Stegostoma tigrinum: one gene and its partner. The protein of the gene in region 2 binds, or shares a complex with, the protein of the main gene of each other region. Links are inferred from orthologs where the notes say so. Each region holds a gene or a part of one and is shown on either strand. Other genes may lie near its edges. The genes, in order: lrrtm2 and nrxn1a.

Evidence for each region.
Region 1: the proteins of nrxn1a (region 2) and lrrtm2 are in contact, whole or in part, in a crystal structure (PDB 5Z8Y), measured with the Homo sapiens proteins. The link is inferred for Stegostoma tigrinum from reciprocal best matches to the Homo sapiens genes NRXN1 and LRRTM2. Residues at the interface, in NP_001317021.1 of Homo sapiens: Leu139, Val158, Thr160, Arg236, Gln237, Leu238, Thr239, Ile240, Asn242; in NP_056379.1 of Homo sapiens: Asp343, His344, Gln346, Gly347, Glu348, Leu351, Asp352, Ala353, Gly356, Phe357.

What each region holds. Positions count from the first base shown.
Region 1 is NC_081366.1:57,558,285-57,571,193, forward strand, and holds lrrtm2 (leucine-rich repeat transmembrane neuronal protein 2), read right to left. Parts: upstream 5,304-12,909; 5' UTR 4,808-5,303; coding exon 4,804-4,807; intron 4,531-4,803; coding exon 2,978-4,530; 3' UTR 2,867-2,977; downstream 1-2,866. UniProt on the Homo sapiens protein: Involved in the development and maintenance of excitatory synapses in the vertebrate nervous system. Regulates surface expression of AMPA receptors and instructs the development of functional glutamate release sites.
Region 2 is NC_081362.1:50,230,676-50,243,326, forward strand, and holds the start of nrxn1a (neurexin 1a), read left to right. Parts: upstream 1-6,653; 5' UTR 6,654-6,863; intron 6,864-7,017; exon of another isoform or gene 7,018-7,160; intron 7,161-11,741; exon of another isoform or gene 11,742-11,818; intron 11,819-12,651.

The DNA of each region.
Region 1 (12,909 bases), on a different chromosome or scaffold from region 2:
GTGTCATATACATAACATCCTAACTCCTAGACTCAATGCATTGACCAATAAAAGCAAATGTGCCAAACACCTTTTTCAGCACCCTGTACACATGCCATTCCACTTTCAAGGAACTATACATAGCATCACTAGGTCTTTCTGTTCGGCAACACTGCCTAGGCCCTGTGATTAATTGCATAAACCCTGCCCTGTTTTGCCTTACAAAAATACAATACCTCACGTTCATCTAAATTAAACTTGCTCTGCCTCTCCTTGGTCCATTGGCCTACGCATTCGAGGTCCAGTTGTACTCTGAGACGGCCTTTTTTATGATCCACCACCCGAATTTGATGTCATCTGCAAACTTACTAACCTCCTATATTCACATCCAAATCATTTATATAAACAACAAAAAGCTGTAGACCCAGCAGCGATCCTTGTAGTTCAATGATGGTCACAAGGCCTCCAGTCTGAAAAACAGCCCTCTACCATCATCCTCTGTCTCCTAACTTAAAACCAATTCTGTTTCCATTTGGCTAGGTCTCCTGGATTTCACGTGATCTAATCTACTAATCAAAGTCTTATTGAACTCCTTGCTGAAGTCCATGTGGTTAGCATCTCCCACTTTTTCTCTTGAGAATCCAGTATTCTGCTAAATTACAGAGCATCATGTGCAATGTACTTTGATCAATCGGTGCATTTGTTACATTTCTGTTGATTCCAGAATCCTTGCTTCAGGATCTGTAGAAATTCAGTGTTAAGAATTTGGGGTAGGAAAGGAGAATTCTTGGTGAAGTTCCTGGTAATCTTCAATGAAAAGCCGCTTTGGATACTGAGATAACAAGGTGTAGAGCTGGATGAACACAGCAGGCCAAGCAGCATCAGAGGAGCAGGGAGGCGGGGATGAGCTGGACTGGTTTTTGGATATGGTCAGGAGATGAGATTTTGAAGCTTGTGAAGTCCACATTGATACCATTGGGCTGCAGGGTTCCCAAGTGGAATATGAGATGCTGTTCCCGCAACCTTTGGGTGGCATCGCTGTGGCACTGCAGGATGGACATGTCGCGCAAGGAGTGGGAAAGAACATTGAAATGGTTTGCAACTGGGAGGTGCAGTTGTTTGTCGCAAACCAAACGTAGATGTTCCACAAAGTGGTCCCCAAGCCTTTGCTTGGTTTCTCCAATGTGGATACTAATGCTTTGGATATTAAGATCAAATTACACAGAGGAGAGAATGCTGATTTGATTAATCGCACTGATCTAATGGGTTTTTCAGGTTTATGTTTTAAGCTGGGATTTAATTCATACCAAAGGCATAGAAATTAAACATTGGCTAGATTTCAGCATGGTTCTGTGAAATAAAGGACACTGTTTAGATGTGTTTCATGGTGTTGCTGTCTAAGACTATAAGATGTAGCAGAAATTAGACCTGTTTTCACCCATATATAAAAACATATTATAAGTACTAACCCAAAGGAGACAGGTATGCAGTTTATCATTGCCAATTCAGTACTTTGTTTTATATTACTTTATTTTTAAACTGCTTGCATAAAGGGGGCAGCATTGTACTACAAAGATATGGTTACTTTGAGTTTGAACCCTTGATTTAAAAACTAGTGGGCCTGTCTTTCTCATGGTTTTTATTTTCTTCCCTTCCCTATGTTCTTTGACTCTTGCTTGATGATACTTAATTCCTGCCTTTACACTGACGTTTGCTTGCATTGCTTTGATTCTATGCCCACTCTAGCTCATTACACCTTGAAACTGACTGTCACCGCAGTTGAACGCAGCAAGTGTAGCAGCTGATGAGATGGTTGAGCTGGGCTGGTGTTTCATAGAATTTCAAAGTGTCTTCCTCATCACCCCTCCCTTGACAACAGAAATTACATACCTTATAACGTTCTTTCCTGAGTGAGCAGCAGTAAGCGGCATTGATAAAATTGACATTCAATCAAAATTAAGAGGTTTTGATTGCATTATATTTCTGTAATGCATTCAGTTGTCACTCAAGGGCATGAACATATTTTTGTTTTCTTCTGTAATTTGACTGAAGTCCAAGTGGCAGCTCCTTTGTTGAATCAACCAGTTGAACATTGCTTTATGTATTTACTTCATGTAGTGTGCCATCTGGATATGGCAACAAATTGCTAACCTGCAGTTAAATGTCTTGAGTAACAATAGTTCTAACAATGAGAACTTCAAGAGGTTCTTCTAAAAATATGAACTACAGTTTGGATGGTTTTATAATCCCTGGGTCATTGTATTTAGCTTTATAACTTGTCTCATATTCAAGGTTGAGGAGAGCAAAATTATTGTATGACTAAGTTTCATGACTACTTCTATGAAAGCACAGCTAGCTGTTAGCCATGTTAATGTACCTTACTTAATTGTAAAGCTAGTTGATGAACTAAACAAGCAAAAGCTTCACTTACCCTGTCAGTACAGAGCACAAAAAATCTGTTTTACATTTTGACATCTCAAAAACAGTTGACCATTAATTCTTCTTGGTTTCTACCTTATGAAACAGAATGGACACGGTTTCAAACTGAACCTGTTATTTAATAAATTGTAGTAGCTGACTTATCTTTGTGTGGTGTGGATGATGCCAAGGACATTAGAAAGTTTAATCTTTTAGTGACAGACTGTCTGCATCAATTTACATGGCTAAGAAAATTTGATTTTCTTTTAACATGTTTTCAAGTATGTCTTTTAAAAACGCTGTATTGTGAAACAATTACTGAAGTAACTTCTTCCACCAACCAACTAATTATAACAAAAATAAATTTAAGTGTATGACATGAGCAAATTTAGGTTGAAAAATCTAAACTAACCTTCATTAATAGCATCAAGTACAATTTAGAGTAACAGAGCCAGTGCCAGAATTTTGGTAACTTTATTCTGCAAATAAAAAATATTAAAGTTCGATTCTGTAGTTAAAAGATTTTACTCACAGATTTCCCATTTCTTAAACTGAATGATGGTTACATGAGCTCAGAAATTTATACTTCACATTCTTTATAAGGCAGCTGCTGACACTTGCATTGTCCGTAACCATTTATGATCACCAGTGCGCCTTCCTCGTGGGTGGGCTCATATTCATTATAGGGTACTTGTGTGGATAAATCTGCCATGGGTTGCCTGGCTTGGTGGCGAATTTGCCTCCGGTGTTGCATCATGGAGCAATGCCTTATGCGTCTTAGAGTAGGGGGGCAGCATTTCCGTGATATATACACCACTAGGATAATGAGAAAAAAAGAGAACAATAGAGCCATTGTTCCAGTTATTATCCTGTGAGTAAAGAGAGTGTTATCAGGCTCAAGGAAGTCTTCAGTAGTTGTTTCTATAGTGGGATTTTCAGTATCCTCTGTACTGGAGCCAGTCGACATTAATTCTGTTGCATATTCAGTGGATTCTGATAGCTGTGTAGAGTCTGTATAGCCAGTAGTTATTTGTGTGGTGGTTGCTGAAAGATTACTGCAGATTTGAAATCCATGAACAGCATCTAAGATGTCCTCGCCTTGTGTGTGCTGTGGGCTAGCACAAACCATTGAATTCTCCCATCGACCTTGGAAACTGCTTAGCCAGGAGGCCAGGGCACAAATATTTTTGTTACAAACCCACATGTTACCAGAAAGACCAATGTGAGTTAAAGATTTCCATGAATTAACAATCTGGGCACTCAGTGTGGTAAGCTTATTTGAATCCATCAGAAGTATCTTTAGGTTTGGCATTGTTAAGAAAACATTAGGCTCAATTGTTCTAATCTCATTTCCAGTTACATCAAGCTTTTCCAGTGTGTCCCAAGTCCATTCCATTCCACATAGCAGGATGCTAATTTTGTTCCACTGTAAAAATAGTGTTTGGAGACTGATTAGCCGAGGGAAATGAGCAAAATTAATCTTTGTCAGTTGGTTGTGCTCTAGGTGAAGCTCCTTGAGTTTGATTAATCCTGCAAAACCATTACGAGCTAGGCTTCGCAAACGATTGTTGCTTATATCCAAAAACTCTAAGCTTTGGCAGTCCCAGAAAACCCTGACAGGAATGGTCCTTAGTGAATTTGAACGTAGATGCAGTGTTTGAAGTTTACGTAAGCTATGGAATTGCTCTGGTTGCAGAGAAGTAATTTGATTAAATGATAGGTCCAGATTCTGCAAGTTAATCAGTTGGCTGAATGTAGTATTTGCCAGTCGCACAATCCTGTTGTAGCTGAGGATTAATTCTTTGAGTTTATATAGTCCTTGGAAGGCATCCACTTGAATAACAGAAATCTGGTTGTGATCTAAATAGAGCCATGTAAGTTGGCTGAATTTTGTAAACTGATCATTTTGCAGTTCAACGAAAGTATTGTGCCTGAGCGACAAGCCAATAGACCCGTGGGAGACATTATCGGGTACTCCTTGAAAACCTTGGGAATCGCAATAAAAGAACAGCTCCTCGCATCTGCATTTTTGTGGACATGCTGTGCCTGAGGCAGGCAGCATTTTCAACAGCATGCTCATCACACACACTGCCACCGTTGTTGGCCCCCCCAATGGCCACTTCGAATGCAAACCTGTAGGTGGCAATCAAATGAAATTCATTTAGGTTTCCAGCCTGAACAGTACATCGTATATGGTGATTTAGGTGCTTCATACCCCTCCCCCACAAAAGCTCTGTAGCTAATGATCATAGAATTGTCAGATGTGATCTTGTTTTTAAATCTGAGAATCGTTCTGTGCTTTCGACACACAAAGTAATTTGCTGCTCCTTCCCCCTTCATCCCCCCCAAACCCCTGTGTCTCCCTTCCTGTCTTATGAAATGGGATTTTCAAAAACAAACACTTACCCATTCTTTTCTGCACATTGGAGACTGCATTCAACTATCCTTCTGTTCAGACTCCTCGAGCAGTGAGCTGGAAAGAAGTTCCAATGGAAGAGGCAGATTTTGAAAAGATGCGAAACAAAAAGGATTTCTGTTTCCTTTCACACAAGACAATGGCGAGTATTCCAGTTGAAAGCAAAAGGAAAAATGCCGTAACAAATCTTCACCTATCGCAGCTGTAACATTTCCTCCCAACGCTTTGCCCTTGCCCTGCTTTGATTTCCACAGGCGTAGAACTATAGAATTTTTTCTCGAGAATGAATGAAAACACACATTTTCTTTACCTGCCCGTTCAATTGACTAGTTGAAGCCCAAACCTTTGCCTGCACAGCTGGTGGTCCTATCCTTAACTTGTTGATGTTAATGAAGTACTTGTACAGAGACTAGCTAGCAGTGTGAACACGTTGACTGAAAGCTCCTTTGGAAAGGAGAACTGTGCTGGTACTGCAAGAGCGCAGACTTGCAGATTGGTGGCAGGCTGGCGTAAGCTTGTGACGTGCAATGTTTTTGGGCTTTTCAGTGGCATGATGATGAGCTTCATGCTGCATGCAGTCTGCAAATTGGATGAAACAGACATTGAAGCATTGAAAATGACTAATAAATAAAAGGGGAAGTATTGGATATAATATTTGTCTAGAGTTGTCTATCAATACAATAATGTAGCAGATTATTTATTGTTGTGCTAAATTCCTGTCTAGTTTTTAAATAAAATCTATAGTAAGCAAATAGCTTTCAGGTATAAGTCCCCTGACCTGAATATAAAATTGAATAGAAGTTTACTTATACAATTTGCCTCCTTATTTTTTAGGATGCAGAAACACTCCTGAATAAAATTTCTCATTTTGTCTGATTTCATGGAAATAGTAATTTTCTATTATTAGTACATATCAATTTTAAAAATTTGAAAATATTATGGCAAAACGGCTGTGTATGACTTTGACTTTTTAAGCTATAGATTAATTTTGTATATTAATTTGTTTTATAGAAATACTTGTGTTCACCAGCATATTTGTATGCTTTGGCTAGTTTTATATTGGAACTTAACAGTATTTAGATGATTAAATACGCTGGCAAAGAAATGAGATTATGTGCATTTTTTAAATTTTTCACTGCCATCCCGTTTCTAAATCCTTGCAATGGTGTTACTTGCAATGGTATTATACTTAATGATGTATGATCTGTGCATACTGTTTACCAGGGTAAACATAGTCGTGTGCGTAATGGCACTCAAACATAATCTTGCCTTCTCTGATATTTGCAAGTTCACTTTCAGCAAAGGCCGCTGCATAGTTATCAGGAACTCCACGATATTTATCATTTTTCTCTAACGTCCCTAACCCAAGGTATTAAAGTCTTTGGGATGTTGATGCTGCATCCTTGCTGGCCTCAACTGACTTGTAACAAACCAGAGACTGAATTTAATTTTCTATTCTGAGCTACATCATGAATAAACTAGATGAACTAAACAATTAATATTCAAAACCCTGGTTCAGGAGCACTCATTGACCAAACTTGTCAAATGTTTTTGTTGTAGTTTTCTCCTAATTTCTTCCAAATTGATTCAAAATCTATGCATGTTTGATTATTGGCCTTCTCATTTTGCCATAAGAACGTAGAAAGTTTATGTCACACGTGAAGGCCACTAAGCTCATAGTGCAAGAAACAAGTTATAAGACACTGTCAGTCTTAGTTTCAACTTCCAACTTTCCCTAGGAACCTGTGGAGTTTTGCTTTCCCAAGTGGTCTGTCATGTCAAAAGATCCTTGTCAAAAATGTTTTAAAATCCATATAAACTATTTCAAAATGTGCTACAATCAGTTTACTGCACTCAATGCTCACAATATAGTTTCCTCTACATTGGGGGAGACAAAATGCAGACTATTTCCTTTGCAGAACATCTATATTCTGTCTGCCAAAATGATCGCGTTTATTTTCGCCTGTTACTTCAACACACCACTCTGTTCTCTGGCCAGTATCTCTCTCTCTCGAGCTTGATGCAGTGAAGCTCTGCAGAAGCTGGAAGAACAGCATCTCATTTTGGACATCCTGCAACCTTTAGGGCTGTATCAAATTCAATAATTTTAGAGAACTGAGCACCTTCTCCTGTGTCCTTACCCCTCCCTCCACACACCAGGCCTTCTTGTCGTGGAAGCTGCAATCCTTGTGGTCCCCATTGGCAGCTTTGATTCTCCCCGTTGCATATCCTTTGTCTGCCCAACTATTTTTCTACTCTCTCCGATCGCTTCGCGCCCCCCCCCCCCCACCAAAAAGAAATCCATCTTCAGGGTATATACCTATCTTTTCCTAGCTGCAGTTAGTTTTGAAGAAAGGCCACTTGATCCAGAACGCTAACTCTTACTGTCTACAGGTGCTGTCAGACCTACTAAGGTTTCTGTTTTAGTTTTTTTGGTATTGTGAATAACATTTATCTTACAACTAACGCCACAAACAAAATAATCTAGTCATTTGTCTCTATCATTGGTCTATCCTTGCTGTATCCAAATTAGCTACAGTCTTTCCTCACCTAGCAACACTTAATTAGCTAGCTGTTGGGAACATTTGGATGTCTTGAGAATCTGTGAATGGCACCATATAAAAAGAAAGTTCTCCTATTAACTGTAGAAATCACATTTTGAATGCAGGAAACTAAAGATTTCACGACAATGATCTCTAGAAATTTTGCCAACACCTCTGATTTAAAAAGTAACCATACAGTTTTGCTTTGTTTAATTCATGTCTCAATCTGATAAAGGATGTTCTTTAGTGATTAATATTGCTTATTCAGTTTCTTGAGAGTTTCAAAAAGAATTTCATTGGACATAAGAGTTCATGCCTAAGTATTTTACAAAATTTACCATTGGTGATTCATATTATGATCCAGTTTAGGGGCACTGTGGCTACAACTAAGACAAGGATGTGGTTGTTCAGTCAGGTATGAATTAACACAAAAAGAAATTTTAAGTGACTGCACAAGTTGTAGAACTATCACAGCTAAACAGATTATTTGCAATCATATTGGAAAGAAGGATTGGTGCGCATTGTCATCTTGGCTTTACTGCAGAACCTTGGAGAAATTCATGAGAGAATATCAGGCAAAGGTTTATCATACTCCATTGACTCCTGAGAAAATTCTAAGTTCCTCGAGCAAATTGTCACTTGAGAATATTCAGTGAGATTTAGGAATGATGAAGTCTGTCAATGGAAACTGCAAGTTGAGTCTTTAGTTAGCCTTTCTAGTAATCAGAACTGACACACCTTTAAAAGCAGAGATTTACGATGAACGTTCATCAGTTCAAATTCTTCCCACTATTTTTCTGTCTTTGCTACCTAGTTTTTGCATGTTAACAAAATTTTTGGCCTTTATTTCAGAATTCCAGGATTAACAGTGTTTTGCTTTTTATTTTACTGCTAAGTATTGAGTTGATTCCCATGCCAATTCTCAACATTTATCTAATGAATATGATGAAGCAGTTAAGCATGTTCAAGGATTTTAGGTACAGTAAACTCAATTTGCACTCATTTGCGACAGACATTTTGGATACATAATTTTAAAGAAAACTCATCATTGGAGATGCTGCACGAACAGTATGCCTTACTCGAGTTGCGTGTTGAATATTTGAAGTAAACCCAGCACAAAATTGTTTCTAAGATAATAAAGTGTGAAGCTGGATGAACACAGCAAGCCAAGCAGCATCTTAGGAGCACAAAAGCTGATGTTTCGGGCCTAGACCCTTCATCAGAGAGGGGGATGGGGTGAGGGTCCTGAAATAAATAGGGAGGCGGGGGGGGAGGCGGCGGACCAAAGATGAATAGAGGAGAAGACAGGTGGAGAGGACAGCATAGGTGGGGAGATAGGGGATAGGTCAGTCCGGGGAGGACGGACAGGTTAAGGAAGTTGGATGAGGTTAGTAGGTAGGAAATGGAGGTGCGGCTTGAGGAGGGGATAAGTGAGAGGAAGAACAGGTTAGGGAGGTGGGGTCAAGCAGGGCTGGTTTTGGGATGCAGTGGGGGGAGGGGATGAGCAGGGCTGGTTTTGGGATGCAGTGGGCAAGGGGAGATTTTGAAGCTTGTGAAGTCCACATTGATACCATTGGACTGCAGGGTTCCCAAGCCGAATATGAGTTGCTGTTCCTGCAACCTTCGGGTGGCATCATTATGGCACTGCAGGAGGCCCAGGATGGACATGTCGTCTAAGGAATGGGAGGGGGTGTTAAAGTGGTTCGCGACTGGGAGGTGCAATTGTTTGTTGCGAACCGAGCGGTTCCATCCTGGGCCTCCTGCAGTGCCATAATGATGCCACCCGAAGGTTGCAGGAATGCAACTCATAGTCTGCTTGGGAACCCTGCAGCCCAATGGCATCAATGTGGATTTCACAAGCTTCAAAACCTCCCCTCCCCCCACTGCATCCCAAAACCAGCCCAGCTTGCCCCCACCTCCCTCACCTGTTCTTCCTCTTACCTATCCCCTCCTCCCACCTCAAGCCGCACCTCCATTTCCTACCTACTAACCTCATCCCGCCTCCTTGACCTGTCCGTCCTCCCCAGACTGATCTATCCCCTCCCCACCTATACTGCCCTCTCCACCTATCTTCTCCTCTACCCATCTTCGGTCCGCCTCCCCCTCTCTCCCTATTTATTTCAGAACCCTGTCCCCATCCCTGTCTGTGAAGGGTCTAGGCCCAAAATGTCAGCTTTTGTGCTCCTAAGAAGCTGCTTGGCCTGCTGTGTTCATCCAGTTTCACACTTTTGTTATCTTGGATTCTCCAGCATCTGCAGTTCCCATTATCTCTGATCACAAAATTGTTTCTATACTGCGCAGTACTTTTGGATGCAAAAGGCCAAATACTAGACTTGCATTAAGTAGCCCTGGTAAAATTTGGTAGTATTGCTAACAGTGCAAGTAATATCAGTGTTAAAATAGTAGCACTGTAACACTAATGAAATGTTGCTGAGGATAGCACGCACAACCCAGATACTAAAATGAAATGTGAGAAGGTATTTGCAGCATTACTGGTAACTACACTGACAAATGATAGTATGGGCACTTAATTTTATAAACTTATTTTACGTTGAAATTGTAACTAGATCTTGGAGATCCAGTTAAAAATACTAATTGGCTATTGAATAATTTTACTTACACTTTTAAGCCATGGAATATTTTGTAATTTTCCATCTGCACATATGTTGGTGGTTTTTCAATTTCTTGAATATGCATATACTGTCGCAAACCAGGTGTCTCAGCATTTGCCATCTTTTGGCATCAACACATATTTGTGCCTGGATGCAATTTCTTAAATTATCAGATCTAAAATGCAAGCTCAGTGAAGGGACACATGGACAATTTACACTGGTTGCTGTCATTGACTGGTTGTACAAGTCTCTTTGCAAGTTGCACTCCTATGTCATCTTCATATCAAAAGGTCATATTCAAATACTGCGAAATCTCAGAGGCTAAATCTTTCCTTTTGACCCAGATTCCCAATCCATTTGATGGCCCTAATTTGCAGTTTCCCTGAATGGTTTCCCTTTGTAATCCAATTTTGAAGTTCGAAAGTTACAACCATTTTGCGAAAATAGTGAGTGTTTGTATTTATTCATTTTTTGGGGTGTGTGTGTTGCTGGCTGGCAAGCCTTTATTGCCTGTCCCTAGTTGCCCTTGCAAAGGTGGTGGTGAGCTGTCTTCTTGAATTGCTGCAGTCCACCTGCTGTGAGTGGACTCGGTGCCATTGTGCAGGAAATCCCAGGTTTTTGACCCAGCAATGGTGAAGGAATGGTGAATATATTTGAGTCAGTATGGTGAGTGGCTTGGAGGGCAAATTGTAGGTGCTGGTGTTCCCTTTTGGCTGCTGCCTTTGTTCTTCTGGATGGAAGTTGTTGTGGATTTGGAATGTGCTGTCTGAGGATCCTTGCATTTCTGCAGCGCATCTTTATGTAGCCGTATGTACTATGAGTTTGGTGATGGAGAGAGTAGATGCTTGTGGATGCAGTGCCAATCAAGTGAACTGTTTTGTCCAGAATCGTGTCAATCATCTTGTGTTGAGCTGCAGCCTTCCTGGCAAATGGGGAGTGTTTCATCATACTCCTGACATATACTTTGTAGATGGTAGACAGGCTTTGGCAAGTCAGTTGCCACACTATTTCAAGTCTCTGACCTGCCATTGCTGCCACTGCATTTTATGGGTGTACTGCCGTTATAACTTGGTCAGAGCTCTACAGCAGGCTCATGCTTTCAAAATATCAGCACATGACCGCACTTGGGAACCTCTGCTCTCATTCTTTCTTCTAAGCAAACTTTATACGTGCAAGTTTCTTAAGTTTTTTTTTATTTTATCGAAAGATAAATGTTGACCCTGTTCTCTGTTGTTATATTTTGAAGGCTTTTTTTTAATGGGGTTGTTTTGATAACTAATGTATGATTAGAGGAGGCAATAATTGTCTGTGACAAATTCCCTGCGCATCTAATTTTTGTTCTGCCAACAATGAATGTAAATTATGTCTGAATATGATGCATCTAATTTGCATGTGTGGTTGCTGTAAAGTTGCAGGGCCTTTTCAGTTCTTCGTGGCTTTACAAATCTCTCATATCCGCAGTAATAGTAGTCAAATCTGAGTCGTCCTAATCTAAGGTTTCAGTTCATCCTAGCTATAACTTTTGAAACATTTGCTGATCCTCAAATTATTTACAAAATCTTCACATGAAATAATTCAATATTTTTGTAGAATCAATATTGTCTGTTTTTATTTGTAAAATTCACAAAGCCTCCGGTTTAATCATTAAGGTGGAATCCATGAGCTCATTTGCTTGCTGTTTCTCTCTTCCTCTTTGCAATCTCATTAACTGGCTTTAATCCTTCCTTTTCTCTCACCTACCCATTCTATCCTGTCCTTTCTCATGCCTGCCCTCGCTCACCGTCCTTGTTGGTTCGTTCGCTCACTCACCCGACCTCCTCATTCTCTCTGCGACTTAAGAAATAAAACTAAACTAATCAAAAATATGGTATGACACTTAAGCTGGTTTTAATATTGTGTATTCTCATAGTAAAGACCATTTCAGCTTAATTTTTCAAACCTGTTACTTTGCAAGTTTAGGTTGTGGAACTATATCATTTAACACAACTTAAGCTGGAAAATGAGGTTTGGAGGCAGAAAGATCAGAGACGCAATCCTCAGTCCCCTTCTCAATCTTTTTTTTCCATTTTGGAGGCTTTTTTTGCGCTTGGTTCCTCAAGCACAGTCAAAGCCAATTTTATGGCAGTACAAACAGCTTGGTTGTTCAGGATGTGAGAAAGATAAGAGAAGGAATAGTGACAGGAGAATCATTAGTTAGGTGAATAGACATGCACTTTTGTGGCAGTAAATGTGGCTCCTGGATTGTATGTTGCTTTCTTGTGCCAAAATTGAAGATGTTAGAGCGGTCGCGGGGAGTGGTGAACTGCCAGAGGTTCTGTCCACATTCTTACCAATGACTCGGGTAAGAAGAGGGGTAAGGTTCCACCATCAGGATTGGGAGAAATAAGAAGAAAATTATTAAGCAAGACCTCAAGGGTATTCCAGTGCCACATGCAAGTGAGCACAGCAATGAAATGATAAATGTATGGCTGGAAAAAATAGTTGCAAGAGTATGGGTTTTCGATTCCCGGCATTGGTTTTTAGATTAAGGAAAGCTGGGCTTTTACAAACCAGACAGGTTGCACTTGAATAGAGTTGGGATTGAGTTTCCTGTTGGGTGATTTTGCTAGTGCTGTTGGTGGGGATGGGTTAAATTAACTCCACAGCTGCGTGGGAATTAGAAGGAATATTAGAAAGGCATAGCAGGAAACAGATTTACTTAGGGACAGAGAGGATAAGTATATAGAGTAGTCAGTGAGTGAAGTTGGTGAGGGAATAAATAAAGCCTAAATTAGGATTATGCTGCATATGTTTGAATGGAGTATTTTAAATAAAGTTTGTTAATAGATAAGAACAAAAGGTAATCTAGAGCAAGGACAGTTAACTGCAGAAGCGTTGACTTCAATGAGCAAGGAAACAGTTGGGCCAGACAGGCTGGAACAAGTGTTGTTGGGAACAGCTC
Region 2 (12,651 bases):
CAATATTGTATTCAGAAGAAATAGTCATTGCTGTCATTTATTGTGCTGTGTTATACAAAAAGCGTGTTCAGAAAGTTGAAAACAAAGTCTCCTCTTCTGTTTTTTTTTGATCAACAGGCATTCTCAACTCAACAGGAGGTGCAACACCATCCTGTTCTGACAATTTCTGGAGCTAAAAGGTTTTGCTGTGGATTAGTTTCAAACTCTTATGCCTTCAGCCTTTAGGTAGTCTACTGATCTAAGAATCATAGATATTTTTTGAGACTGTAATGATGAAATATGCTTGGTATAATTTCTTATTTACTTACATACCTAATAGGTTGTTAAAGGTTAATATTCTTTTACACTGGAATCTCTTTTCTTCAATATTCATTATATTAGAAGTCAGGATTTTTAGAATCAGACTGATTTTTTCTTGGATTGAGCTTAGCCAATCCCTGTTGCTGTAGCAAAGACTCAATAGACTCTTCATCATAGATACTGGAATGGTGGCATTGGACAATAAATGAGTAGACATGGAAGTGGCTTGAAGTTGCCATGAGCTAGTCGAAGGACATTGAGTGGCGTGAGTAATCTGAAAGGATGGGATCCTTTATGTGAGGTGTGAATTTCAGAGGGCCTTTAAATGAAACTGAGCTGCAAGGAAAGAAAACTGAAATGGGCCTTTCAACTGCCCTACTTCCACACTAATCAAGTACTGCGTATTAAATCAATAACGGGAGAAAATCTGCATCTATATCATGCCTTTGACAATCTCTGGACATCAAAACATACTTCACAGAAAAGTGTAATCAATGGTATTATGAAGGTCAATATGCCAAATGATAACCACTGCAACTAGTAATGAGGTAAAAGGCCAGAGGACTTTGTTCTGGTGATATTGGTTGAAGCCATAAGAGCATTTTGCCGTTACTTAAAAATACTCATTGTGGTCAAGTGACCTGTGACCTCCAGGATTGTTACAGAAATATTGACATTTTCCCATGATCATGGCCTTAAAACTCAAAGTGGAAGCCAAGTTTAAACTGATCTGAACTTTGGGATTTGCAAACTCCAGAGCTGGAACAGACAGTATTCATGCAGCCAGGCCTTGGAAAGGCAATTTTACATCAAAATAAGTCAGGCCAGCTATAAATGGTCACATCAGTTCATTCTGAAACATTGTTTACACCTCCAGTGAACCTGCTTGGTAAGAACGCTATACAGATTTTATAGCACCCAGCTCAGTAGGAATCCAGAGGCATGGTGACAAGGATGGCACTGAACACTTCCACTATCATGTTTTACAACCTCCAGATATAGAAAGTGCCACCTTATTAGATCATCCTGCCCCCACCCAATGCTAGTACTAGATACAAGCAACAGAATCTTTGATGGGTGCGAGGCAGCGAGTAGAAGGGACTCCAGCTGTCTCTCTGATTTTTGCATCTTCTTCAATGGCATTCCCAGACAATATACCTTGGTGGGATGACCCAAAGACCAGATACAGCCCTGAATGAGAGGTAGTGTCCAAACTGACAAGAACAGATTGTGAAACATCATCTCTCAAAGATCAAGAAACAGCTTGTCCCAGCCTTACTGCATGTGTGCTATCGGTCCTTTCAGAGGAACTGTTGATGTGTGTCTTTAAAAGGGAATTGTTTTGTCCTGTTGCTCTTCAAGGGGCATGTTACAAGCCTGGTGATGAGGTGCCTGCTCTGGGAAGGCAGAGCAAAAAATAGAGAAAAAGAAACATTGGACGGCACAGTGGCTCAGTGGTTAATACACTGCTGCCTCACAGTGCCAGGGACTTGGGTTCAATTGTAGGTTCGGGCAACTGTCTGTGTGGAGTTTGCACATTCTCCTCGTGTCTGTGTGTGTTTCTGCTGGCTGCTGTAATTTTCTCCCAAAGTTCGCTGATGTGCAGGCTAGGTGGTTTGGCCATGCTAAATTGCCCATAGTGTGCAGGGCTGTGTGGATTGGGTGGTTTAGCCAAGGGAAATGTAGGGTTACAGGGATGGGGGGTTGGTGCGGTGAGTCTGTGTGGGCTGGTTAGGCCAAATGTTTCCACTTTGTATGGATTCAATGATTCTCTGGTTGGGTGGAGTCAGTCTCACGCAGATCCAGAGTGTTAGTTTTTGCTTTCAGTTGTTGAAGTTGGGGTTTTGGAGGTGAACTGCTAGCTGCAGCTCTCTGCTGCTGCTGCAAAGAGTTCTTTCTCACTTACTTGACTAATTTGTTTTTTTTTCAGTATTTCGTTCTGCTCGATTAGAGTGAGAGGATTACATGTGAGAATAACACTGTTTTGCTGAATGTGCCTTTGCCAAAGGTGTGTTTATCAGATCCCACTATCTTAGAACAGTTCAGTAGGAGTGAAATAATATATTTTAAGTTTTTTTAATACTTATTTAAGAAAATTCTTCTTTACTTTGTTTCTATTTTAATTGTGGAGGAAGAAGAAAGTGTGCTTTGCTTAAAGCATAGTAGTGTGACCAATCAAATCACATTTGGAATGCTGGACCTTACACTTGCCTTTTAAATAAGTTTAAAGTTAGGATTTAGGCTATTATCTCCTTGATATGTTTTGACAGGGTTTGATCTGATCCACAACAGGTCAAATACAGTTCAAAATCTCCCCCTCCCCCACTGCATCACAAAACCAGCCCAGCTCGTCGCTGCCTCCCTAACCTGTTCCTCCCCTCACCTTTCCCCTCCTCCCACCTCAAGCTGCACCTCCATTTCCCACCTACCGACCTCATCCCACCTCCTTGACCTGTCCGTCCTCGCCTGACTGACCTATCCACTCCCCACCTCCCCACCTATACTCTCCTCTCTTCCTATCTTCTCCTCTATCCATCTTCGGTCTGCCTCCCCCTCTCTCCCTATTTATTTCAGAACCGTCTCCCCATCCCCCTCTCTGAGGAAGGGTCTAGGCCCAAAACATCAGCATTTGTGCTCCTGAGATGCTGCTTGGCCTGCTGTGTTCATCCAGTTTCACACTTTGTTATCTAGGTCAAATACAGTGGTCAGGACCTGTGGATAGGGTACAATGAATCCTTGGAAGCACAGGTCAGAAGTAGATAGCTAGTGTAGATTTAAGGTTTTGTTTGTCAATCTCTTCACAAGTTGCTTCAGTAAAGTGTTGAGTTAAAATACAACAGTAGAGTCTAAATAATAAAATGTGAGGCTGGATGAACACAGCAGGCCAAGCAGCATCTCAGGAGCACAAAAGCTGACGTTTCGGGCCTAGACCCTTCATCAGTTGTTTTTCCTTGATAGTGTTCTATAAAGTCTCCCCAACTCATGCCCTCTTTTGTCTATCTCGATGTGTAATGTGCTGGAGTGAAAAAAGGTTACTGCAATCTGGTCAATATTAATTTACATTTCCCCATCTTTTTTGCTTTACAATGCCTTGACCTTTTTTATCCACATGAGTCGGCACACAGCATTTCTGTTTAGCATTACAGTCAAAAGGAAACTTCTTTCTAACAATGCCACAGATGGGTCAGCACTGGCACTGAATGTTAGTCTAACATATTGCTTTGTTCTAATGAACCTGCAAGGCTTGAACTTACAACTTTAATATCAAAAATGTCGGCATTCTTGCTCTTGAGCCAAGCTAAGTGAATAAAGGCAAAATGCTGCACATGCTGGAAATCAGAAATAAAAATAGTAGGTGCTGAACATATATCTGTGGAGAAAAAACAGAATTAATGTTTTGATTTAAATATAACTCTCCGTCAGGACAGACAGTTAAAGGGGTGTCCCTAACTCATTCATACCATGTACCTCCAAAACCTTCCCACCCCCACCCCATCCTTGAAATTAACCACTTCCCAGTTTCATGTTTTGATGGTTCCTCTTTGCATGTGAAAACAGTACAAAGTGAAACAAGGTATGAAAATGTACAGATGTAGTCTCACCTCTGGCATATCTTATATGGCCAAAGATAAGAAAATGACCTGTGACAGCTTGCTCTAACCATTTCAAGTTGAACCTGTTGGAATTTCAGGAACGCATTTACATTGCGTACACCCTGCAGACACCCGAGTACAATCCAGAAATCTCGAGCATTCATTTATCATCGTTACCCGAGGTTTTGTTTTATTGAATTCCCAAGCTCCAGTACACTTCCATCTGTCTATGTATGTGTCACAATAATGTAAATGCTTGTTTAAAAAAAAACATATTGTCTTCGGAAGCACTTTCCGCGCACACGTGCTTAAGAGTTCACTACAATACACTAAAATCATGACTGGATACCTACCAGAAATGTTTCAGCAAAGGATTGCGACGCTTTGAAAGCTCGTGTTGTAAGCAAGTAAATACATACGTGCTGGCATTAAACAAATGAAAATGTCGTGTCGCTTCAACAGTTTTGTGTCAAATCAGGCAAATTATCGTACACGTCAACATTTATTTATAAGTACTCGTTTTAGCTGGAAACATTTTGAAATTTGGGTGCTCGAATTGGGAACGCTTCACGAGGTGCTGCTTTCTAACACGGAATTAAAGACGTTATTATTCTGCTGTAAGTATTTCAAGCTGCCCACACACGGCAGCGTTCACACTCCTAAAAAGGCGAGAAGAGCAAAGCCTTGTGTGTCAGACTTACTAGAGCTGTCTCCCCGGGAGAGCACGGGGAAATAACATGACAGCGATGCACACCTACCTACCTCCCGGGAATTGGCACTTCAGCGGCGACAATACTTTTGCAGGGAGAGAAGGAAAATACAACAGATAGTAGCCGAGAGCCTGCTTTTGACACAAATCCTCCGCATAGGCTCGTCTCCGGCTGGTATTGTGCGGCTGAGTACGTGGGCGCTGGAGCAGCTCGAAGCGAGGCACCTCGGCATGGCCATACACCCCGGGCACGGCCATACACCCAGGGCATGGCCATACAACCCGGGCACAGCCATACATTCCGGACATGACCAGACACCGCAGCCTTGGCCAGACACCCCGGGCATGACCAGACACCCCGGGCTTGGCCAGACACCCAGGGCACGGCCAGACACCCAGGGCATGGCCAGACACCCCAGAGCATGGCCATACACCCCGGGCACGGCCAGACACCCCGGGCACGGCCAGACACCCCAAGCTTGGCCAGACACCCCGAGCATGGCCAGACACTCAGGGCATGGCCAGACCCCCGGGGCATGGCCATACACACAGGGCCTGGCCAGACACACAGGGCATGGCCAGGCACCCCAGGCTTGGCCAGACACCCCGGGCATGGCCAGACAGCCAGGGCACGGCCAGACACCCAGGGCATGGCCAGACATTCTGGACATGGCCAGACACCCAGGGCATGGCCAGACACCCGGGGCATGGCCATATACCCAGGGCACGGCCATACACACAGGGCATGGTCAGACACACTGGGCATAGCCAGACACCCCAAGTTTGGCCAGACACCCCGGGCTCAACCAGACACCCCGAGCATGGCCAGACACTCAGGGCATGGCCAGACCCCCCGGGGCATGGCCATACACACAGGGCCTGGCCAGACACACAGGACATGGCCAGACACCCCAGGCTTGGCCAGACACCCCGAGCATGTCCAGACACCCAGGGCATGACCAGACACCCGGGGCATGGCCATATACCCAGGGCACGGCCATACACACAGGGCATGGTCAGACACACTGGGCATGGCCAGACACCCCAAGTTTGGCCAGACACCCGGGGCACAACCAGACACCCCGAGCATGGCCAGACACTCAGGGCATGGCCAGACCCCCCGGGGCATGGCCATACACACAGGGCCTGGCCAGACACACAGGACATGGCCAGACACCCCAGGCTTGGCCAGACACCCCGAGCATGTCCAGACACCCAGGGCATGACCAGACCCCCGGGGCATGGCCATTCACACAGGGCATGGCCATACACCCCCGGCACGGCCAGACACCCCAGGCTTGGCCAGACACCCTGACATGACCAGACACCCCGGGCATGACCAGACACCCTGGGCATGGCCAGACACCCAGGGCATGGCCATACAACCCGGGCACGGCCATACATCCCGGACATGACCAGACACCCTGGTCTTGGCCAGACACCCCGGGCATGACCAGACACCCCGGGCTTGGCCTGACACCCCAGGCGTGGCCAGACACCCCGGGCATGGTCAGACACCCCGGGCTTGGCCAGACACCCCGGGCATGACCAGACACCCTGGGCTTCGCCAGACATCCCAGACATGACCAGATACCCCGGGCATGACCAGACACCCCGGACACGGTCAGACACGCAGGGCATGGCCATACACCCCGGGCATGGCCATACATCCCGGTCATGACCAGACACCCTGGCCTTGGCCAGACACCCAGGACATGGCCAGGCACTTTGGAAGCCCCCAGATACCTACGGTCAGAGCATGGCTGGGCACTCAGGGGAGCCGCTAGGCGTCCAGGGCACGGCCAATACAGCGTCAGCCACTCTTCCCAGATTAAACCAGTCATTTTGGGGCAGGCTGCTGTTTGGGGTTGGGTGGTGTGTTTTGAGGTGAGGGGCCGTGCTTTGGCGGTTGGAAAGATAAATATGGGAGCTTTTCATTGCTTCCGCTGTAAGGAGAAAAAGGGCTGCGACACCTCCTTTTTTAAATGCATTTTTTTCCCTTGATTTCCTTTAGTTTGCAGAGAGAATATGCGTCATCTTTCAGCAGGGTCTGGGTACCAGAAGGCAAGGGTTTCGCTGGCAGCGCTGTTTTAACGGGAGGCAATAGAGATGGCTTTCTCTTGACACAGAAAGATCCTGACATAGAGAAGGCAGCTATTCCTCGCCTGGGCGCGCGTGTATTTTAAATTTTAAAACGGGAATTCGTCTGAAAGATCAGCGTTCTTTCACAGCCTGGTTCAGGCCCCAGCGGGTTCTTTCAGGTACGTGGGGCTCTGTCTGTCTGTCTCTCGTTGTGCTGCCGAGCACTAATGGAATTTTCTTCGTCATGTATCGGAGCGGGGAAGCCCAGTCTTTAAGAGGCTGGCGTGAAGACAAAAAAAAACCCAATCCTGAAAGGTCTTACATCATTGCTTTACCGCGTGGAGAGATTTAAAGCCCACCCATTCCCCCAGCCCATGTCTGATCTTATCCCCCTCTTTTGTGTCCTTGGTCTTCATCAGTGAGTAAAATCCTTGCGCATCTGCAACACACGGTAGAGGGAAGAGTGCAGGAACCAGGTGAGTGGTTTAAAAGCAGCCATCACTGTATCGGAGGTTGCAGATTTAGGAGGAGAGTCTGAGGGTTTTGCATTTTGCAGACTCCATAGGCACCAACATATCAATTAAAATAAAACCGAGAGTTCCCGTTCTCCGCAGCTCCTTTCCAATAATGAATGCAAGGCGACTCACCGCTCTGTGATTGAACTCCCTTTCCCTCATACCTTACTGAGTTGATACTTTGGTTGCAAAATAAAAGTAGTTGATTACTGAATAGGATTGCTTGTCTTTGTTGAATCGTATTTCTATACTGATAGCATGTTTAAATTTAAGGACCTGTTATATTGTAGACGGAATAGAATGGATTTTTGTCCTTTCTCACTCCCCGCCAGAATTGGATGTAATTGTTGGATTTAGTTATATTATTTGGGCTACCTCCATCTGACACAGCATATCCAAATTACATCTCGGAGTACAAAAAAAACTGCTTAATTTTACAGATTGCGTTAATCATTTTGTTATGATACATGGGAAACAATACGAAGTGTCATGAGGTGAGAACGGACCGCAGCTTCCTAAGACAGGAAGCAGAAAAGAGAAATTGACATGTTAGGCGCATATCGGTAGCGTTTTCTTTTAAAAAAACATGTATCAAATTGGAGCGTTCTTTTGTCTCATAATTTCCATGCTGCGTTTTGCTGTGGTACATTGGTAATTAGATTTCCTGTCATGATTTCACTTCAGGCATTTTTACAATCCAAGAAAGGTGTGATGGCTCATTAGGTGTAGTGTGAGAAAGCTAATAAGACAATCGAAATCAAAAGGCAGAGGGAGAGAAAAGAAATGTTAACTATAAAGTGCTGGTCTATTTCTTAGGACGCTGCAACAAGTGATGTGCCAGTCAATAAAAGAATTATTGTTTTTCAGCGCCCGGGGTAGTTTTGGACGTCAGATATGTCAGGATATTGTATTCTCTACAAATGAAGCAATGGGAGTCTACTGAACCAAATGGACCATGTAACCATCAATCTCAAAGTTTTAAAATACATTTTTCAAGATCATTGTAGGACAGAAGTCTTAATATTAATCCAAAGACAGGACATATATATTTTCACTTTGGCATTTTTATGCTTTTTTGTTGGGAGTTGTAATTATCATCTTTGGAATCCAAAAGTGTTTAGCAACAAAATACAACTAATAATAATTAGTTTACATTACAGCAACTTGTCTGTCAATCTTCCAACAACTTATTTATTAAAATCTATTGAGTAAATTGGTTAAAATGACCAAATTAGATATTAAAATCCACTGAGTAATTTGGCTAAAAAGGAACTTTGCTTCCTTTTAAACTGTTCTGGAGAGCTAAGCATTTTTTTAAACAATTGAGTATCTGGTGTGAGGGAGCTCAAACAGAAAGAATTAAAATGCACATGCTGAAATGTTGTTGTTTTGGCAGGTTCAGCCATTTTGCACTAAACACAATACAAAATATTGTCCAAAAGCGGATACAAGTGCAGTCATGGTCATATATTGATTCATGTTGCTGCATTAATTGCTTCTTTTGAAGAATATTATAAAGTATTTTGATTCAGACTGGAAAATGGAATGTAAACACAGTGACCCTGCGAAATTGTCAGAAAGAAGCCAAGCTTAAAATATGAACATTGAATGAGAGAGAACTAGGAAACAGTAGGGATTATGTTGTAATTGCCCTTCATAGATTTTTCACCTGCCTTTTTGCACCTCCCTATTGCTGACAGTCACGCTCCCCTTCATTCGTTTTTTTTCCCACTATTTTCCCATTGCTTTCAAACTGTTCTTTCAACATGACCGCTTCAGTCACCAAGTAACTTCTCTCTTTTCTCCCCCTCTCCATTTTTTGCTCTGTCCATCATCTTCTCTTCTCTCTGGTACCCATGCCCCTGCTTTACTTCTGATGAAGTGCTGTCTAGACTCGAAATGTTAGCTTGATTTCTCTCCATGGATGCTACCTGATCCGTTGTGATTTCCAGCATTATTTTTTGTTTTCAGTTCAGATTCCAGTAATTTGCAGTCCCAATTTCTGTTTTCCCTCCCACATACTCCTCTATTTTGGCCGTTTCCCACATCTACCTTGAGTCTTCTCCCCCATTCTTGGCTTCTGCCCTATTTCTTCTTCAACCTGAGGCACACATCGCACCTCTCACCCCCCAACCAGTGTTCAGGCAAGCACTCGCCTTCTTTCTTTCTCTATCTTAGCCAAATTGGGTTCTTTACCCTTCCTGTCATATACGTCTGATCCAAACTGTTATTGCTTTTCCCTTTCCTTTAACAGGTTACAAATTCATTCCCACCTTTCTTCATCACAGCTGCACACTTTTCCTCTTCTCTGCCTCCACATGGTCTCAGCAGTCACCCTCTATGGCCTCAATTGGTCTGTTGTCCTTTTCTAGGCATTTTGAAAGATCTTTTGCTCCCACATCTAACTAACGAGATCTTCTCCCCAGCAGATCATGATCATCATCTACAAGCTCAGATGTTGTAGTTGGCCTCCAGTAACTGCTTTGAGACATCTTCATTATTAATATGTTCATTATTGCAGGGCATAGCTTGTTGCATCATTACTTGTTTTACTGTGCTACCTTTATTTTTATTTGCAAACAACATTGTGGCTTATCAACCAGTATTATTTCAAACATTTCTGTCAGGCCATCAGGGCATGTTTAAATATCCACGTCTCTTGTCTCATACAGTGAAATATACTAGTTCCAAAATTTGCCAAGGTATGAAAATTGGCATGATGATCTTTTTGTGTGATTAACTCATGCCTGTTGCCTTCAGTACAAGTAAAATGGAACCATCATGCCATCTGATCATTTAAGTGATTTCAGAAAGTGAACAGTGCAGAGCACAGTACTAAGTGGCTGCCTGGCTGAGCAGGGGGACTCAAAAATAGCTTTCAGAATCCTGAAATACTTTAAGAGGATGTGAAAATTGACTGAAGAGTTTTAGGAAATGTCTGAATGAAAATACATTATGATGATCACGCAGTATGGCAGGGCAAGGACTAAAAGGTGTTCCAATGGTGTACTGACCTTTTTGGTTAAGAAAAGCTGTCTCCTTGCCAGCAAATCCTGCAGACAAACTATGAGGACACAATGGGGAAAGATACCATGATGGCTTTATTCTATAAGCCTCCCAATAGCCAGTGAGAGATAGAGGAACAGATGTGCAAGCAGATCATAGAAATGTGTAAGAGTCACAGGGTTTTTAAAAGTGTGATATCAGCTTTCCCAATATTGACTGGGATTCCCTTGGAGCTCGAAGCTTGGATGATGACAAATTTGAGAGATGCTTCCATTTCTTGAAACGGTATGTAGGTAGCCCAACAAGGGAAGGGACCATAATAGGGCTTGCACAAGGGAATGAGCCTGGTCAGGTCATCAAAGTTTCAATGATGGAGCATTTTAGGAACAGTGACCATAATGCCATACATTTTACAACAGCTTAGACAAGGATGAGACTGATCCTTGAGTGAAACTGCTAAGTTGGTGGAAGGCTAAACGCAACAGTATTAGGTAGGAACAGGAGCAATTAGATTGGGATTAGCTGTTTGAGGGTAGATCCACATTTGTTATTGGGGAATAATTTAAAGGCCCGTTGACCTGAGCTCAAGATCAGCATGTTCCTGTGAAGATGAAAGATGGGCATTGGTAAGAGTTGAGAACCCTGAATGATAAGAGGTGTTGAAAATTTAGTCAGAAAGACAAAGCAAGCATGCATAAGATTAGTAAACTGAAAGTAGACAAGGCCCTTGAGGAATATAAAAGGAGTAGAAATTAAAAAAAGAAACAGGATCGGGGAGGGTTAAAAGGTGTCATGAAATAGTCTTGGCAAGTTGGATTAAGGAGAATCTCAAAATATCTTAAATAAAAACCAAAAGAACTGCAGATGCTGTAAATCAGGAACAAAAGCAAAGTTGCTGGAAAAGCTCAAAGATAATGGGAACTGCAGATACTGGAGAATCTGAGATAACAAAGTGTGGAGTTAGATGAACACAGCAGGCCAAGCAGCATCTTAGGAGCACAAAAGCTGGCATTTCAGGCCCAGACCCTTCAGCAGGCCTGGCAGCATCTGTGGAGGAGAAAACAGAGTTAACGTTTCGGGCCCAGTGACCCTTCTTCAGAACTGATGGTGACTGAGGAAATGATGAAGATGATTGAGGATAGGGCAGTGGATGCTGTCTATATGGACTTTACAAACACATTTGATAAGGTCCATAATGGTAGGCTAGTCCACAACATTAGGTTGTATGGGATTCATGGCGAGTTGGTAAGTTGGGTACATGATTGGCTTAGTCATAGATGTGATGATACTTGGCTTTAAGAGGAGTATTTTGTCCTTTTTTTCCTATGAAGACATAGGTGGGAGCAATCTGCTTCAAACCAATAAACAAAATAGCTTGTGAGGCCTTGGTCTTTTTGTTTGAAGCTGGAAAAATAAAAGGAGCCTGAATGAGTGGGGCCAAGTTCCCACAAAAACAGGATTTTTAGTTTTAACTTTCACTAGTTGCTGGAGTCTTGAAGTTGGATGTGAAAGCTATTTTCCCTCTCTCTGTTACAGCTAAAAACTGGGGTTCTGTTCCTGCTGCTGGAATTGCATGTGAGATAATCGCCTTTACTGACTTTGTCTTTGCCAAGGTATTTATGATATGCTACTATATTGGAACAGCAATGAGTGGTGTGTTATTTTAAATATTTCAATAGTTACAGTTAAGCCAAGTCTTTTATTTTCAATGTCTGTATTTTAACTATAGTGATTGACTAAAGTGTGTTTTGCTTCAAGCCTGTTGGTTTGACCAATTGAATTACATTCAGAATGCAACACCTGGCACTGGCCTTTTAAAATAAGAAAATGTCTTGGCTATCTCCTTGACATGTTGTAAGGGGTTTGGACCATAACTACACAGGGGTCAGTATCTGACACCAAGTCACCTTTTATTTACACGTGAACAGTCCTTGACTTTAGTACTGCCTCATTAGGAGTTAGCTACCAGTGTGTCAGTAGCACTGACAAGTGCAAGTCCATGACTCTCGAAAGTGGCAACATATGTGGATAAGGTGGTAAAGAAGATATAATGCATGTTTGACTTCATCAGTCAGGGCACTGAGCATAGAAGTTGGCAAGTCTTATTGCAACTGTATAAAATTTTAGATAGGCCACATTTGGAGTACTTTATACAGTTCTGACCACCACACTATAGGTAGAGGCCTTGGAGAGGGTACAAAATACCAGAATGTTCCTTGGATTGAAGTGCATTAATTATAAGTAGGGGTTGGAAAAACTTAGATTGTTTTCGCTACAGCATCAGAGGTTGAGGTAGCAAACTGATAGAAGTGCAGACAAAATTGAGAGGCATGGACAAGGTGGATAGTTAGAGTCTCTTTCCCAGGGTAGAAATGGCAAATGCCAGGGGGAATAGGTTTAAGCTGAGAGGGGGAAAGTTTAAAGGAAATGTGTGAGGAAAGCTCTA